Linked DNA regions of Macaca mulatta. The protein of the gene in region 1 purifies or fractionates together with the protein of each later gene. This does not show direct contact. Links are inferred from orthologs where the notes say so. Each region holds a gene or a part of one and is shown on either strand. Other genes may lie near its edges.

What was found.
Region 2: the proteins of SOD1 (region 1) and TKT purify together in Homo sapiens (affinity purification with mass spectrometry; 3 studies listed by BioGRID, with this or other methods). This does not show direct contact. The link is inferred for Macaca mulatta from reciprocal best matches to the Homo sapiens genes SOD1 and TKT.

What each region holds. Positions count from the first base shown.
Region 1 is NC_133408.1:15,681,646-15,686,065, reverse strand, and holds the start of SOD1 (superoxide dismutase [Cu-Zn]), read left to right. Parts: upstream 1-1,434; coding exon 1,435-1,506; intron 1,507-4,420. UniProt on the Homo sapiens protein: Destroys radicals which are normally produced within the cells and which are toxic to biological systems.
Region 2 is NC_133407.1:116,824,599-116,828,400, reverse strand, and holds part of TKT (transketolase), read left to right. Parts: intron 1-1,260; coding exon 1,261-1,378; exon of another isoform or gene 1,379-1,413; intron 1,414-2,214; exon of another isoform or gene 2,215-2,240; coding exon of another isoform or gene 2,241-2,258; coding exon 2,259-2,372; intron 2,373-3,156; coding exon 3,157-3,254; coding exon of another isoform or gene 3,255-3,285; intron 3,286-3,802. UniProt on the Homo sapiens protein: Catalyzes the transfer of a two-carbon ketol group from a ketose donor to an aldose acceptor, via a covalent intermediate with the cofactor thiamine pyrophosphate.

The DNA.
Region 1 (4,420 bases):
AACTGCAAATATGTATACTTCCTAGAGGATGATAAAAAAAATGTGAATTGTGTTTTCTCTGATAGAGGATGCATTAGAGTCTGAGGGTCTAAATAACATAAATAATAAATAAGTAAATAAATAGATAGTAGTGTACTCCAAACGAGGCTGGAATAGCTTCTATCGTTGTTTCACGCTGGACTTGAATTAAGTCTGAGTATTTTGCCATGCTCAGTACGAAATACTAGGCTGGACGTGGTGGCTTATGTCTGTAATCCCAGCACTTTGGGAGGCCGAGGTGGGCAGACTGGCTTGAGCTCAAGAGTTTGAAACCAGCCTGGGCAACATGGTAAAACCCCATCTCTACCCAAAATACAAAAATCAGCCAGGTGTGGTGCCACATGCCTGTGGTCTCAGGTACTTGGGAGGCTGAGGCAGCAGGATGACTTTTGAACCCAGGAGGTCGAGGCTGCAGTGAGCTATGATCGTGCCACTGCACTCCAGCCTGGGTGACAGAGCAATACCCTGTCTCAAAAATCAAATAAACAACCCCTTCGCCCCGGACTAAAGTAGTTTGTACTATTTTCTCATTTCATCAAAGTTTTTGAAATATTTCCCTTGAAAGGTAAGTCATATTTATCATTCCTGTTGTATGGAGACATCACAAATTATTTCACCATTCTACCCTCCTTGAGTGTTGTGGCCTTGGGGCCAGGCAAAAACGCAGGAGATGCCTAGAAGCCAACTAGTTGCCGTTTTGGTTATCTGTGGGGTTGTAGCGTTGCCAAACAGGAAAAATATAAAAAGAATACCGAATTCTGCCAACCAAATAAGAAACTATGTGCTAAGGACTAAAACAACTGCAGGGGAAGAAAAGGTGAGGCCAGGGATTGAGGTGTAGCGACTTTCTATGCCCTCAGAAAATTAAAAAACAAGACAAAAAAAAAAAAAAGAAAACTACAAAAGCATCCATCTTGGGCCGTCCTAATTTCTGAGTAACAAATGAGATGCTGTGGCGAAAGTCAGTCATAACCAATGACATTTCTAGACAAAGTGACTTCAGATTTTCAAGGCGTACCTTGTTTACATCATTTTGCCAATTTCGCGTCCTGCAACCGTCGGGCCACGCCCCCGTGAAAAAAAGGCTGTGTTTTTTTCCACATTTCGGGGTTCTGGACCTTTCCCGGCTGCGGGGCGGGGGGAAGTCTGAGGCGCACGCGGCCCCTTGGCCCCGCCCCCAGTCATTTCCTGCCACTCGCGTCCCGAGGCTGCCGCAGGGGGCGGGCTGAGCGCGTGCGCTGTGACTGGTTTGGGGCCAGAGTGGGCGGGGCGCGGAGGTCCGGCCTATAAAGTAGTCGCGGCGCCGTGGTACCGCTTTGCGGCGTAGTCTCCTGCAGCGTTTGCGGTCAGTCTCGCAATATTCGGAAGCAGGACCGCGGCGTGGCCTAGCAAGTCATGGCGATGAAGGCCGTGTGCGTGTTGAAGGGCGACAGCCCAGTGCAGGGCACCATCAATTTCGAGCAGAAGGCAAGGGCCGGGGCGGAGGCTTGTTTGCGAGGCCGCTCCCGCCCGCTCGTCGCCCCGAGCACCTGTGCTAGGAGCGGGTGGCCAGCCAGGCCTCGGGACCGCCCTGGTCCCGCGCCCGGCCTCGGCCCGTGCCGCCCGGTCGGTGCCTTTGCCCCCAGCGGTGCGGTGCCGGCTAAGTGCTGAGTCATCGGGCGGGCCCGGGTGCGGGGTGTGGGACCGAGGCCGCCGCGGGGCTGGGCCTGCGCGTGGCGGGAGCGCGGGGAGGGATTGCCGCGGGGGCGGGCGTGGGCGTGCTGCCCTCCGGGGTCCGTGGGCGGCCGCCGCGGGCTCTGTCGTGGTGCTTGGAGCAGCTGTGCTCCTCCCTTGCTTGGCTGTGTTCTCGTTCCTGAGGGTCCCGCGGACACCGAGTGGCGCAGTGACAGGCCCGGCCCGGGGTGGCGACTGCGCCTGGGCCCGGCTGGTGTCTTAGCATCCCTCTCCGCGTTCCGGCTTCAGCGCTCTGGGTCAGGGAGTCTCCGCTTTTGTACAGCTCTAAGGCTAAGTATGGTTTTTATATTTTTAAAAGGCTTTGGTAAACAAAAATACGCAACAGAGACCGTTTGTGTGACACTTTGCAGGAGTTTGTTGGCCTCTGTTCTAGGTCATGGTTGGGCTGCAAGGGCAGAGAAGGTAGCCTTGGATAGAGGTCCTTTTCCTCCTCCTAAGCTCCGAGAGCCAGAGTTTTAACTGACCGTTTTGGGGACTTTCGAGGGCAATGATTCTTAACTTTGGGTGCACAATTAGCTTATTTGAAGATCTTACTAAAAATACACCAGAGCCCAACCTCAGACCAATTACATCAAAACCTGTCCCAGCGCAGGTGATTATTGCTGTTTTTTAAGTTTCCAAATGTGATTTTGATGTGCACCTACGATTGAGGACTGTTGTTTGAGGACAGTGGGTGCGGTTTGGGATTTGGAAATTGGGAAGACCTGAAGTTTCCATTACACGGAATTGGTACTTAGTAACTCTTGTCGGAGCATTTCTTAAGCCACATTTTCTGTGAAGTGGCTTTAAAATTGCTCTGCCAGTAGGCAGGTTGCTAAGATGGTCAGAGACAAACTTCTGAACGACTCTTGTAAAATGTAGTACAGAAATATTTTCATAACTATTATCAGTAAAATTGCAAAACGTCTTGCAAGGAAGGTGCTTGTGATAACACTGTCCCCAGAGCCTTAGTGAAGTTACCAACTGGTGGAAAATTGTCTGGTACTCGGCTTAAAAGTCATGAGAGAATATTTATCATATGAATGAGATTCAGTCTTTAAAGGGGTTTACAGAAAGGTGAGAGGACAGGAACAGTTAGTCTGTGCAAGTGTCTGAAATGTGTATGAGGGAGATACGAGTTTAGCTTTTTTCTTTAATACGTCTCCAGATTTTCTGGAAAAGGTTCTTTGGCATTTGACTCCATTTTGCTATTTCATTTGTCAGACTTCGTTTTGTCCCTCTTTACTTATTCCCACATAATTCACTAGTACTAGTGCTGTGTTTTGTTTCTGAGACCGAGTCTTGCTCTCTTGCCCAGGCTGGAGTGCAGTGGCGCGATCTCGGCTCACTGCAACCTCCGCTTCCTGGGTTCAAGCAATTCTCCTGCCTCAGGCTCCCGGGTAGCTGGGATTACAGGCGCGTGCCACCACGCCCAGCTAATTTTTTGTATTTTAGTAGGGACCGGGTTTCACCATGTTGGCCAGGATGGTCACGATCTCTTGACCTGGTGATCCACCCGCCTCGGCTTCCCAGAGTGGTGGGATTACAGGCGTGAGCCACCGCGCCCGGCCACCAGTACTAGTCTTAAGACGCCTCTGTGGAATTCCTTCTCCCTGGCCTTTGAGAGTCCATGCATGAACCCAGGTTTCTGTCATTTTCCACCTTCCCTGAGCAGCGAGCATAGTTCCTTCTTTTAAGCGCCTGACTTCGTTTTGGTTGGTGCCCCTTGTACCTGAGAAAGAGCCTTGGATAGTGGAGCATTCCAGCTTTCCAGATATGCAGAGATAATAAATTGGCTATAAACTACCTGGCGTGGCCTATTCCGTGTTTAAAATCTTAGACTCGTGGCTAGTTTTTACAAATCAGAATCTTTCACCTAATAGTCCAGTTTTCCTAGCTTCTCTTGAAGAATTGTTGGAGATCTCTTCATACTGAGCCTTCATTAGCCCAGGACAGTACTGCTGGAGCTTTCCAGGCCTGTGTTACTCACTTGAGTTCACAGCCTGGTCCCTGTAGGGTTGTACCTAAGCACAGCTACTTACATGTTCCCAATGTATTACCCGTTAAATGGAGGTTTGAAAGAACCTCCTCTTTTTGGCCCTGTGCTCTTGATAACACAGCATATTTGAGGGACAACTTTCACATTTGAGTTTTTCCAAAATTAGAGGTTGTAGAAGAGTCACAGTGTCTATTCTGAAAAAGAAAAGAATTTTTTAAAGGCCGCAATTGCCAGAATCCTTCGTTTGAGCAGTGGTATTTTCCAGTGGAAAGTCATGTCTTAAGGGTTAATGCCCCTTAACTGTTGTCCCTCTTTGAAAACCAAGCTAAAAACAAGAGACACAAACATGTATGACGGTGTGGTGTGGATGCTGTGTTTATTTTAGTCCTGAGATCTACTCGTAACGTCCTTGATTTCTGTATGTAGCCACGGAGCACCATTACCTGTCACCATTGCCTGAATGGCGATACTGCTTGCTTTCTTTTTGGTAGAGTGGAAAGGTTATCTAGGTTTCAGTGCTTGAAAAGATTTCAGAAAACAGTAGTACCTCTGGTTAGACTAGAATCAGTCCTCTCCTGAGGGCAGTGAAATAGGATATTTTCTGACTGCTAATTAAAAATACCTATGATAGCCGGACGTGGTGGCTCACGCCTGTAATCCCAGCAGTTT
Region 2 (3,802 bases), on another chromosome or scaffold:
GGTGGTGTGAGCTGCAGATGGTGCATGTGCCCTTGGGCTTGGCATGGGGTGTGTCTTCGTGTGAAGGGCCTCTGGGAGCAGCGAGAGGGCTGCGCTGAGCTGCATGTGGAGAGGCTCTCCCGGGAGGCCTGTGCCCGGAGGCTGAACTGTTAACAAAGCCCTAGGACCAGAGGGCTTCAGGGCTGACCAGGACCTGCAGCTTCCCAGCAGGAAGTGCAGCCTCTAGCCCCTTTCCCAGGCAGGGGGCTGGCTTGTGGATTATTCACATGGGTCTTAAAAGACCTGAATGAGTCCCATCTCTAAGATGTGATTTTTGCACTTTCTATTGCTCAGCAGCCGCTCAGTGATTAAAGTGAGAGTCTAAAAAGCCAAGGGGACTCCGTGGACCCAACACTCCCAGGCTGGACGGCAGGTTCTTGCTTTTCAGCCCCACCTCAGCCCCTGTCTATAGGCAGAAGGGGTTTTTATTAATACATGATTGTAGCCGTGTAGAAGATGAGATTGTGTGTCTTGCTCTGAAAATTCTGCACAAAAGCCTGTTTCCTAGTTGCTACACAGCCCTCAAACTGCCCATTTCTAAAGCTTTCAAGTAGCCCAGGTGATGCAATTGGAAAGCCCAAGGCCCAATTTTTCAGGCTACCACACCTGGTGTGTGGAGGCTGCTGGGAGGTCTGTGGTAACTCCATGAGCCTCAGTCCCTTCCTCCCTGCTCCATGCGCTCAGAGACCCCTGGGTGCTGAGAGGGCAGGGTGCCCTTCACAAGTGGGCAGGGTCCGGGCAGTCCCGTCGGGATGTGGGGTCAGTTGTAGGAGTGCCGGCGCCCCTCAGCTGCTGAGTCATTAGACTCCTGAGGACCACCAGGTGGGAGCTAGGCCCTGCCCGACAGCAGCTGCCCGCCGCCTCGGTGCTAGTCTTGGGCTGCGTCTTCTGTGCTGGATCTCTCCTGGGCCCCTCCTTCCTTCTTACTCAAGTCCAACCCAGATATTTTCAGTTGCCATGATTCTGAGGATCTGGTGCCCCTGGGAAGGTGCAACAGTCCCCAGCACCCCCACCAGCTGGCCCAGGCTCCAAGCTGCCAGCAGTGGCTTTCTTGAGATCCTGTGTCACCCTCCCAGGGAACAAGAGCGCATGGCTGTCTGATAAGCCAGGCCTGTGTGACTCCTCGGGACATGCACCCCCCGGGTCCCTACACAGCTGAGCACGATAGCTCAGGAGTGCAGGGCCGTGATGCATGTGTCTGTCTTCTCTCCTGGGCCACAGCCACCCTACGTCATGCTGCAGCGCCGCAGAGATCATGGCTGTCCTCTTTTTCCACACCATGCGCTACAAGTCCCAGGACCCCCGGAACCCACACAATGACCGCTTTGTGCTCTCCAAGGTAAGAGCCCAGCTGCCCACCGCCAGCCACACCTTGCCTGGGACTAGGGTCACACGGGCTCTGGAATGGTGAGTGGTCTCTGAGGAGGTCTGGCTGGGCCCACCTCTCCCAGGTGCCTTCTCCCTGCTCGTCCTGGCCCCTCCCTCAGTGTCCTGCTCTGCTGACCCAGCTGGCTAAGGAATACAGGACTGAATTGATGGGTTGCTCTGCCATGGAGCCCAGGTACATGAACAACGCTTTAACCCAAAGAAATGGAGTAGGGGACTACGGGAACGTCTGTTGTGTGTTCTGCCCAGTCTGGGTGTTGACAGGCAGGACTGGCATCTTGGTCTGGGTTGTGACTCTCTGCCTGCTCTTTCTGTGTTGTGCCAGCGCTCCCGAGGCCACAGCTTGCCCCCCTCAGGGGTAGTGGTATGCTGTAGCAGGGTTTTGGATGGGGACCCCCCTGACCCGCCCCTACTGGGTGGAATCACAGCCACAGACCCCTGAAATCCACCTGTGCTCAGGCCTGCCTCTGTGGCGTCTGGTCTCTCAGGGCAGGCTTTAGAGCTTAGAAGTCTGTCCAAGTTGTTCCCATGCCAGAAACCAGGGATTAGGGCAGCCGGCTGCCTGCTGGGGTTTTGGCTTTGTCCAGCCTCACAGCTGTGCCCCCTGCACCTGTCTTAGTGCCTGCCCAGCCTTGGCAGTGGGAACTTTGGGCTGAAAACCAAGAGGCTGAAGAGGGCTGAAAGGGGAGAAGTGGCCTTCACTTGCTTCCTCCCCTGAAATGGATGCTGCAGTTGGCCGACTCAGCCAGGCCCCAGGGGTCAGTGTGCAGTAGGCACAGCCCCAAGTAGAACCGCTCCCCACCTGACCTCACCCCATGTCCATCTCCCGGCAGGGCCATGCAGCTCCCATCCTGTACGCGGTCTGGGCTGAAGCTGGCTTCCTGCCCGAGGCGGAGCTGCTCAACCTGAGGAAGATCAGCTCCGACTTGGATGGGCACCCGGTCCCCGTAAGTGCTCCTGCCAGAGCCTCTCATGCCTCTGCCTCCGCTTCCTGTTTCCCAGACATGCGGGACCAGGGCAGGGGGTGCCCACTGAGAAGCCAAAGGTATTGAAAGGCGGAGGAGGGCACTGAGACGAGGAAGGAACGAAGCAGGTGTTTTGGGCGCATGTATTCACCCCAAGCTGGTGCCAAAGGGGAAGGCCTTCTGAGGCCTCAGCCAGGGTGCCCTGGGATGACTTCAGGGAGGGCCTCTCCCCAAGCTTCCTTCTGTGCTGGGCCTCCTTGGCTGGGTAGCTACAGCTTGGGAAGAAAAGGGGCTCTCTTCTAAGGGGGTGGCTCTAGGATGCTGGTGACGCTCTGGGGAGGGAACCCGGTTTGTTCCTTGGGGTGCCAACTGGCATCCCTGCAAATGTTAAGACTTCAGGGATTACCACAAAAACTGTCATGTGGTCTGGGTCCCCACAAGGGCCACATGTTCTATGTCAATTTTTTCATGATTCCCTCTCCCAGCCCTTTGTGAAGTGGGTGATGTGGGAACTGAGGCTCACAGAGGTTCAGCCCCCGGCCTGAGGCCTAAGGCCACGTAGCTGGCTAGTGGGCAGGGCTGGGATTTGAACCTACAACTATAATTAGTTCATTAGCAGAAGAAGTCACATGCTGGGTAGAGGCTGCCCTGGGGCGTGACCTGCAGGGGAGGGGCTCGCTGGGCTGGGTGGGAGTGTGGCTCCAGGGGCGGGTGAGACCAGGATCCCTTCTCCTCTCAGATTAACTGTGGCCTTCTGTTATGACAGAAACAAGCTTTCACCGATGTGGCCACTGGCTCCCTGGGCCAGGGCCTTGGGGCCGCTTGTGGGATGGCCTACACCGGCAAATACTTCGACAAGGCCAGGTAACATGCCTACTCCCCACCCCCACCCTGGGTAGTTTTGGGGAGTGGTCCTTGGGTGACCCACCCTTCACTGCCGCCCCCAGACTCTTCCTCTTTCCTGGCTAGGGCAGAGTAATACATACGCGTGGCCTCTTTTGCTCTTTAAACATCTGCTATGGCTGGTGCCATGACCGGCCCCCTTTACAAATGAGGAAACACTCAGGAGTTAAGGGACGTGCCCTGGGTCAGCAGTGACTGGCAGGGCTGGGTTTGCACAGAGTGCATGCTCCCAATCATGTGCTCTTCAGCCAGAGTGCTTAGGCTGAGGACTTCCTGTTTTGCCCCCAGCCCTGTGCCCAGACCCCAGAAGTCTCAGAAAGACCTACCCCCAGGCGCCTGTCTCACTAGGCACCAGGAGCCCAGGCCTGAGCCGCTTGCCTTTATCTTGGTAAAGGGGAGAGTTGTATGTTCTGGGGGGTTCTGGGATACCTGTAAGCCACCTCCTGTCAGCAGGGAAGAAACAAACATTTGAGAGATTGGGCCTCCAGAGGGTGGGTGGTAAGCCTGAC